2 linked regions of the Neurospora crassa OR74A genome follow. The protein of the gene in region 1 binds, or shares a complex with, the protein of each later gene. Links are inferred from orthologs where the notes say so. Each region holds a gene or a part of one and is shown in the gene's direction. Other genes may lie near its edges.

The links. The genes of interacting proteins can lie anywhere in the genome.
Region 2: the proteins of cya-4 (region 1) and cox-6 are in contact, whole or in part, in a cryo-EM structure (PDB 8C8Q), measured with the Schizosaccharomyces pombe proteins. The link is inferred for Neurospora crassa OR74A from reciprocal best matches to the Schizosaccharomyces pombe genes cox5 and cox6. Residues at the interface, in NP_588158.2 of Schizosaccharomyces pombe: Gln74, Lys75, Gln76, Pro77, Trp78, Thr79, Ile83, Lys86, Lys87, Ala89, Tyr90, Ala93, Phe94, Arg100; in NP_593931.1 of Schizosaccharomyces pombe: Ala90, Arg91, Asn94, Asp95, Phe96, Pro97, Thr98, Ala99, Val100, Arg101, Glu104, Glu129, Leu130, Gly131, Ile132, Val133, Lys135, Leu138, Phe139.

Annotation. Positions count from the first base shown.
Region 1 is NC_026502.1:1,656,392-1,659,764, reverse strand, and holds cya-4 (cytochrome c oxidase subunit IV), read left to right. Parts: upstream 1-1,467; 5' UTR 1,468-1,608; coding exon 1,609-1,843; intron 1,844-2,241; coding exon 2,242-2,435; intron 2,436-2,503; coding exon 2,504-2,590; 3' UTR 2,591-2,779; downstream 2,780-3,373. Other genes in the region: NCU16537 (hypothetical protein), read left to right, coding at 360-420, 482-545, 609-669. UniProt on the Schizosaccharomyces pombe protein: Component of the cytochrome c oxidase, the last enzyme in the mitochondrial electron transport chain which drives oxidative phosphorylation.
Region 2 is NC_026505.1:4,304,059-4,307,909, forward strand, and holds cox-6 (cytochrome c oxidase polypeptide VI, variant), read left to right. Parts: upstream 1-1,494; 5' UTR 1,495-1,631; exon of another isoform or gene 1,632-1,745; 5' UTR 1,746-1,770; coding exon 1,771-1,931; intron 1,932-2,147; coding exon 2,148-2,193; intron 2,194-2,355; coding exon 2,356-2,473; intron 2,474-2,653; coding exon 2,654-2,775; 3' UTR 2,776-3,219; downstream 3,220-3,851. Other genes in the region: NCU06696 (hypothetical protein), read right to left, coding at 3,780-3,851. UniProt on the Schizosaccharomyces pombe protein: Component of the cytochrome c oxidase, the last enzyme in the mitochondrial electron transport chain which drives oxidative phosphorylation.

The DNA of each region.
Region 1 (3,373 bases):
GACGCGCCGTCGGAGAAAATGTGGTCTGTGCGCTACTTAGCTGTGTTTAATGATTTCCAATTGCCTCCGCGTCATTGCTTGCATGCACTGGACCGGGGTTAAACAGACAGTGCACATGGCATCCGGGCGGGCGGCGGAATGGAGCTGTGCAGATTATGCTACACTACAGTACAGTACTGCCCTGTACAGCACCGTTGTTGCCGTTTACAGGGACGGACCCAACGAAACGCTGAAGTGTTCTCGAACTGAGTGAAGGTCCAGATCGAATATACTATCGAAGCTGATATTCAATCCGGTCAACTGAGTGGCGATCATCAGCCAAGACATAAAAAAATCAACAACAGCAACAAAAAGTCAAGATGCTCAACGGCAAAAAGATCATCACCATTGGTTTGGTAGTAACCTTTGGCATCGTGAATGGTCCGGGCTCTTTGGTTGCATGTGCTTGTGATTGGAAGAATAAAGTCTGACGTCTCTGCAGGATACTACACATTTGCCCCCAGTCTCCGGGCGGAGAAGGAGAAGCGTGAAGGCCTAAACCTTGGGTGAGAAGATGAGCTTGAAACAATCAAGTGCGGTTAAGACTGGATAGACTAACATGACACCAGTCCCCCGGCCAAGCCCTCTCCATATGAGATTAGGAAGCAAGAGTGGGAGAAAAGAGAATGAGATGTAGGATGCTAGCATGGAGTAGAGTAACAACTAGGTATCGTGATCATACCATCGACCAAGGCATGAGTTATATATATATATTTGGAGGGATATGTCGGTGCATAGCTGTCCCTCTTTTTGTTTTCTCGAAACTCATGACAGCAATTCGTTTGAAACGAAGCATCCAAGGCTTCATTTTCGTTCTGCCGCGTTTACTGTACTCATTGCGGATAACATGACATGAAATATCTCTCTGCAAGGCTTTAATCTGTCTAAAGACCCTGTCGTGTCTCCCACTCCGGACAAGCAAACAATAAACTTTGTGAGACAGTGACGTCTGGCATGTGAGTTCCGTTTTTCAGCTGCCAGAGAATCGAATCGTCGTCATCCAAAAGTCAACAATGAACAATGGACACTCCAGTCAGCCCAAGGACAAAACGTCCATGGTGTGGAAACTGAAGGCGGTCCGTGCCAGCTGTCAAGAGTGTGGAATTGCCAGGTGAGGGGCTCCGTTTCTGAGCGCCAGACACGCAAAAGCTGCCCGTTCACCACTTGCCAGGCGGCCCTGGTCAGCCTGCCGTGAGTTGGCTCCCGGGAAGATACGGGGCCCCAAGCTAGGTAAACTGTGACAGCGAGTCTCATAGCGCTCTGGTTTGGGGGTGTTTTCACTGGCGGGCACTGCGTTCGGGGTGAGCAAAGTGGGCATCAGGCCATCCCAGGCATTCCTCGAGTTCCGAGCTGAGGCCGCATCCCCGTTTCGCCTACCTGCGAATCCCGTTCGCCCAAAAAAAAGCTCGTCCTTTGCATGACTTCACTCCTCGCACAAAATCACCGTCGACGATCGAGCTCCAGGCCTCCGACCACGCACGCGGGCGACTCAATTGGATCCATCTCCACCCCCGACTTCGAATCCTCCTCAACTTCCTAATCTCTGTCAGCCGACAATCCGCCGCCACCATGCTTCGCACTCCTACCGTCTCGGCCCTCGTGCGCAACGTCGCCGTTCGCGCCGCCAAGCCCACCATGGCCGTCCGCGCCGCTTCCACCATGCCCATCTCCAACCCCACGCTTGCCAACATTGAGAAGAGATGGGAGCAGATGCCCATGCAGGAGCAGGCCGAGCTCTGGATGGCTCTCCGCGACCGCATGAAGGGCAACTGGGCCGACCTTACCCTCCAGGAGAAGAAGGCTGGTAAGTGAGAAGTGGAAGGTTGAAGGTTGGCGAAATGCCGGGTGGAGCTCGACCGTCCAAGCTCCGAGCTAGTTGCATCACCAACGCCCGCCTTGAAGCTCCCCCCCGTCACCCTCACTCTGCGACAACCCCGAGCTTCAAACAAGCTTCACGAGCTCCCGGACAGCTTTGGGATCGTTGGGCGGAAATGGATCTTGTCGGCCTAGAGGTTATCGGTTGATTGATGGGTTGTTGGGGGACGCTGGGAGAAGGCTGAGGGAGTAATGGTGCGCTACATTGGAGGAGAAGAGGAGGGAAGCTCCGACGACAAACCGCACCATGACAGCCATCAAGGTCGTCTCAAGAGACACGCAGGCCCAGACCACAGAAAGACTGACATGTACTCTCTCTCAACGCAGCCTACTACATCGCCTTCGGTCCCCACGGCCCCCGCGCTCTCCCCCCTCCCGGCGAGCAGAAGAAGGTCTTGGCCTACACTGTCGCCGGTGTCTTCCTCTCTTTCGTCATCTTCGCTACCATGCGCGCCTTCGCCAAGCCCCCTCCTGCCACCATGACCAAGGAGTGGCAAGAGGCTACCAACGAGTTCCTCAAGGTGCGTCGGCTCATATCGGCTCTTTGTTGGCAACCAGATCAACTAACACATATATCACCAACAAACAGGCCCAGAAGTCCGACCCCCTCACTGGTCTCACCTCCGAAGGCTACAACGGCAAGGGCCACGTTCAGTCTCCCTCTGCCAGCGCATAAGTTTCGCATACTTTTATTGGTGCTCAGGGGTAGACTCATCCTTCGTTCTCTCGGATATCGGCCATGTCAAACGAGTCTGTGAGGATCGGGGGAAAGGACAGTGGTGGCATTGGAATGCTTTGGGGCGCTTAACACTTGGGTTGGTGTGTAAATACTGTACAGCTGACAATGCATTATCATTTCCTTTAGCCGGCGCGTTCGTTTTGTTGTCCGGTGTAAATGGGGGTCATGGGGGTTTAGGGAGATATGGAACTTGGTAGAGAAGAGTGAGCGGATGGGGATAGCTAGATTCGGGCAGTGAGGCCAAGCTCCTGGATATCAAGATGAAACGAGGTATTTGAGGATTTTGAGGGAGTAGCATCGTCACACGCGGAAAGAAGCTTCCGAGCTTTTAAGGCGCCTAGCACCTTTTCAGGATGACGTCTCTTGATCCCTGCTAGGTGTTTCGCTGCTAGTAAGAAATGACACTGTTTGTTTGTTTGTTTGTTTGTTTACTTGACATGGCCGAAAAAGGGGTAAGCTACCCTGCTCCCAGCACCCAGCCGTATCTCACTCGGTAGCCCGTACTTCGGATAAGAGTTACGGGCGATGATTTCACATCCGGGCCTTCGGGACGAGAACGCCACTCATAGTCCTGCCTCATCCAGATGCTCTTTCTTCGTCCTGATGTTTTTGCCTGCTGCGGCTGTCCCCTCGTGACCAACCGTCATCCATGAAGTTGCTGGATTGATTTCAGACTGCGTGCGGGGCTCCATCCCTCGGCGGGCTCTTCCTCCTGGCAGA
Region 2 (3,851 bases), on another chromosome or scaffold:
CATCGAAAAGGGTCGGTCCTACCAAAAATCAACATGCCCGTTGAAACACGGATGAGATCGATGATTGACTCGAGACTTGGGGGCAGTCTTCTAGGCCGTTCAAGGTCCACCAAATAGCTACAACCCCCTACATCGGATACCTCGTTCATCATGCAGAGCGTCAACTGTCGGGCCGCAACGGGCTAACTCTTGATCAAACGAGTAGTGTAGAGTCCATGCCGAGGTTTGGGGAAGTAGCTAGTGCAGGACGTTCACAACTTGGTTATCAGGAAGAGATATCGTGGAAATTGATACGAGGACGTTCAAACACCCAGGCGAGCCCGAACCAACGGTGCGTATAAGAGAAGGTGAATGGCTTGCCCTCCAGCGATTGAGCTCACAACCTGGGGTGGCCCAGTGCTACGGTAAGACATTGACCAGCGGGTATACAAATTCGGTTTGTTCAATGATTCAATCGAGTCCATTTTTTTGAGGTTTCGCGGCTCTCGCCTGTTCAACAACCCCAACCCACCAATACTACAAGACGCGTTTTCTACTCTCTCCGAACTACATACTGGCTTTCGATCAGCCCATCATTCATCCACCCACAAATACACGAGTGTACAAGCCGTGAATCCTGAGATGACGAGACCATGTGCCGGTCAAAACATTCGGTTGGCAGTCAATTTCTTCCGATGATAAATAGGTTGATCCGTAAATCTCCAGCGCTTGCCGGTTCAAATGTTCCCAATCCTGGGAATTGTCTAAGAAAAAAAGTGAGGGATATCAAGGTCAACACGATGATGAGTTGAAGTGAATGTCCGCAACAACAGACACCACTTCATTGTGTGAAAGACCGACATGAGCAACACGCACTGGTTGCATCATCGCTGCAGGACGGATCGGATAAATCGACTGTGTTGGATGGATAAATCGACTGTATAGCAATTCGCGGGCTACCCCCAAGGTTAGTGTTAGGGTTAGTGGTTAGGGTTAGGTGTTAGGGTTAGTTCCGGGGGTGCAGGGGGCCGGTGAGAGGCCCCCGCATATAAATGAGAGTTCAACGCTTTAGAAAAAGTCGTTTTGAGCTTTCGTTGTCGTTGTCGAGACAATGATATTTTGGTGATGACTTGCGATCGCGAAAGTTTGGCGCGAGAGATGCCAAGCTTTGGGTCTTGGCTGTCAGTTTGTATGGGCTCCACACAGCGGATTCATCTGAGCACACAGTCGATTTATCCGGCTCGCTGCAGGAAGGCGTTATAGGTACCCCACGTTCTGTTGCTTCGACATCAGCCTCATTATGAAGTTAAAGAAATGTTTCAGCCACTTCAGCCACTACTGGTGCGGAAAAGTGGGCTGTTGTCTGTTCAATTGCATACCAAGCTCATGTACGAATTGGAAAGGTGAGCTTAGGGAGCTTGTGCACTGACCACCGAGTGGCTTGTCCAGAAGTACCTCGAGGGCGGAAAAAACACAGCTAGTCAGCTAACCGGAAAAGACATAGCCGAAGTATTCGAATGGTCCGATGCAGTGCAATACCGGAGACTTCCACTTGGGTTGAACAAGCATTTACGTCGCACACCATCGAACCTCAACCTCGTTAGCATTAATTGAGACCATCATCTCAGCTACCGTACCTCCCTCTACGTAACGTGCGTGCTTCTCCGTCTCCGCCGCCAATTACCGCCTTGCCTTTTCTTCCCCCCCGGTCTTCTCGCTTCGCAGTTCCAGCTTCTTACCGTGTGCTCTCAATTCTCATCTTCTAGTAGCCCCCTCCGTCCTTCCGTCACAATGGCCTCCTTCTTCCGCACTGCCGTCCGCGGTCCCTCCGCCGGCCTCTTCCGCGCCGTTGCCCGCCCCCAGCCCATCGCCGCCCGCGTCAGCCTTTTCAGCACCTCCAGCCGCTTCCGCTCCGAGCACCACGAGGAGACCTTCGAGGAGTTCACTGCCCGGTGAGTTTTGCCCCGGCAGCCCGGCCGGGAAGCTGCTACCTCTCCGAGCCCCGGAGGTCCCAGGCCCGAGCTAGCTACCTGCCTATCCTAGCTCGGCTTCACTATGACGTGATGCCTCCGACTCTCCTCCCCTCAGCCTCAGCCAGGGCCACCCCATCAACACCTCCATGCGCCCTCGAGAACTCCCCAATTCCTAACTTGCGCCTTTTCCAACAGCTACGAGAAGGAGTTTGATGCCGTTCAGGATGTTTTCGAGCTTCAGGTATGCACCACCTTCCATGCTCCCGTCCCACTTCGACTCTCACGGCCTACTCGACGACGCACCTTTTGCATTATCGATCAAGGGACAACAATGATTCAACTTGTTGGGTAGGGGCAAGGGAAGGAAGAGACTGTGAGACTGACGCTGGCATACCGAAATTAGCGCAACCTGAACAACGCTTTCGCTTACGATCTCGTCCCTTCCCCCTCCGTTCTCGCCGCCGCTCTCAAGGCTGCCCGCCGCGTCAACGACTTCCCCACCGCTGTCCGCGTCTTCGAGGGTAAGAGCCCCCGTCCTAACATCCATCACTGCCGCCACCGAAACCCGCACACATCGTAGCCATCGACGACCAGCCTATGCGTCAATACCAAGGTGTCCGATAAGCTCGGGTGGATAGGGAACAGCAAAACGGTCTTTTAGGAACCAGAACCATGCTGACAACGGGCTTCCGTCATAACAGGCATCAAGGCCAAGGTTGAGAACAAGGGCCAGTACGAGCAGTACCTCGCTGAGCTCAAGCCTCTTCGTGAGGAGCTCGGCATCACCCTCAAGGAGGACCTCTACCCCGAGGAGGCCAACTAAATTTAGGACCAACGTAACTTAGAAGATGCCATGAGAATCACCATTCCAACGACCCATCAATTATTCTCCCAGAATCTTTGGAAGTTTGAAAAGAGGGGATATGAGAGTATTGTGGCGAGAGGAGGGGGAGTTTGTGGAAGGGGAAAGCGTAGCGTGTGTGCTTGGAACCTATGAATAGGAGAGCGCACTCAACGCTAATTCCCTGGTACCATACATGTTTCTTTGCCTAGAGAACTCCTATTGCAGGAAGTAAGGGCGTAGTATATCCAAGAGGGCCTTAGAGAGAGGAATCGAACGAGTTCAACCTGTTTGTCGAGTTGGATACGATAACAGTTGGTTGTGTCACGGATTGTGTTTGGACGATGAATATCCCATGCCATGATCGTAGAGAGCAGCAAAATAGATGTATTCGAAAGGCAGTAATGAGTTTACCATAGATTTTACAAAAGCTGGATGCTGGTTACCATTCGTCATAAGAGATTGACCAGATTCACGATTGTCATGCCTGGTTCTACCTGGATTCTATTGCCTTTATCCATAGCAGGTAGAGTAAGTATCTAGAAAAAGGTAACCCCAATGCGCCGAGTGCCTCAACCTCTTTCATGTGCATCCCTCGATCCTCAAATGCAACCTGAGTACCTTGAACCATACAAAAGAAAATGAAAACAATCGATCTAATGAACCGTAAGATGTAAGATAGGGAGATGGGTATTGTGAAAAGATATTCCTACCGGCTGGAGAGAAAGAAGAAGAAGAAAAAGACCAATAGGTAACAAGCAATAAGCAAACAATCGTTTCACCAACCATTCCACCGTTGACAGGGACATAAGGAAAGCTGACCTGAAGCCATCTTAATCGTTGTCTTTGTCTCGGTCCTTGGTCACGAACCAGGAAAACAGCTGCAGTCATCGACCGACAGCCGAGCCATTCTTTCCTTCTCTCAAGCACCCAACGATCTCGCTCTCCGACCCCCAGGTTCGGTTCTAACTCCTATTCGTCTTGCCCTAATCACGGAGGTGCCCCCACCGGGGGTTAAAGTTTATGCCCCCATTTCCTCCACCATTCCCGTTTCCATC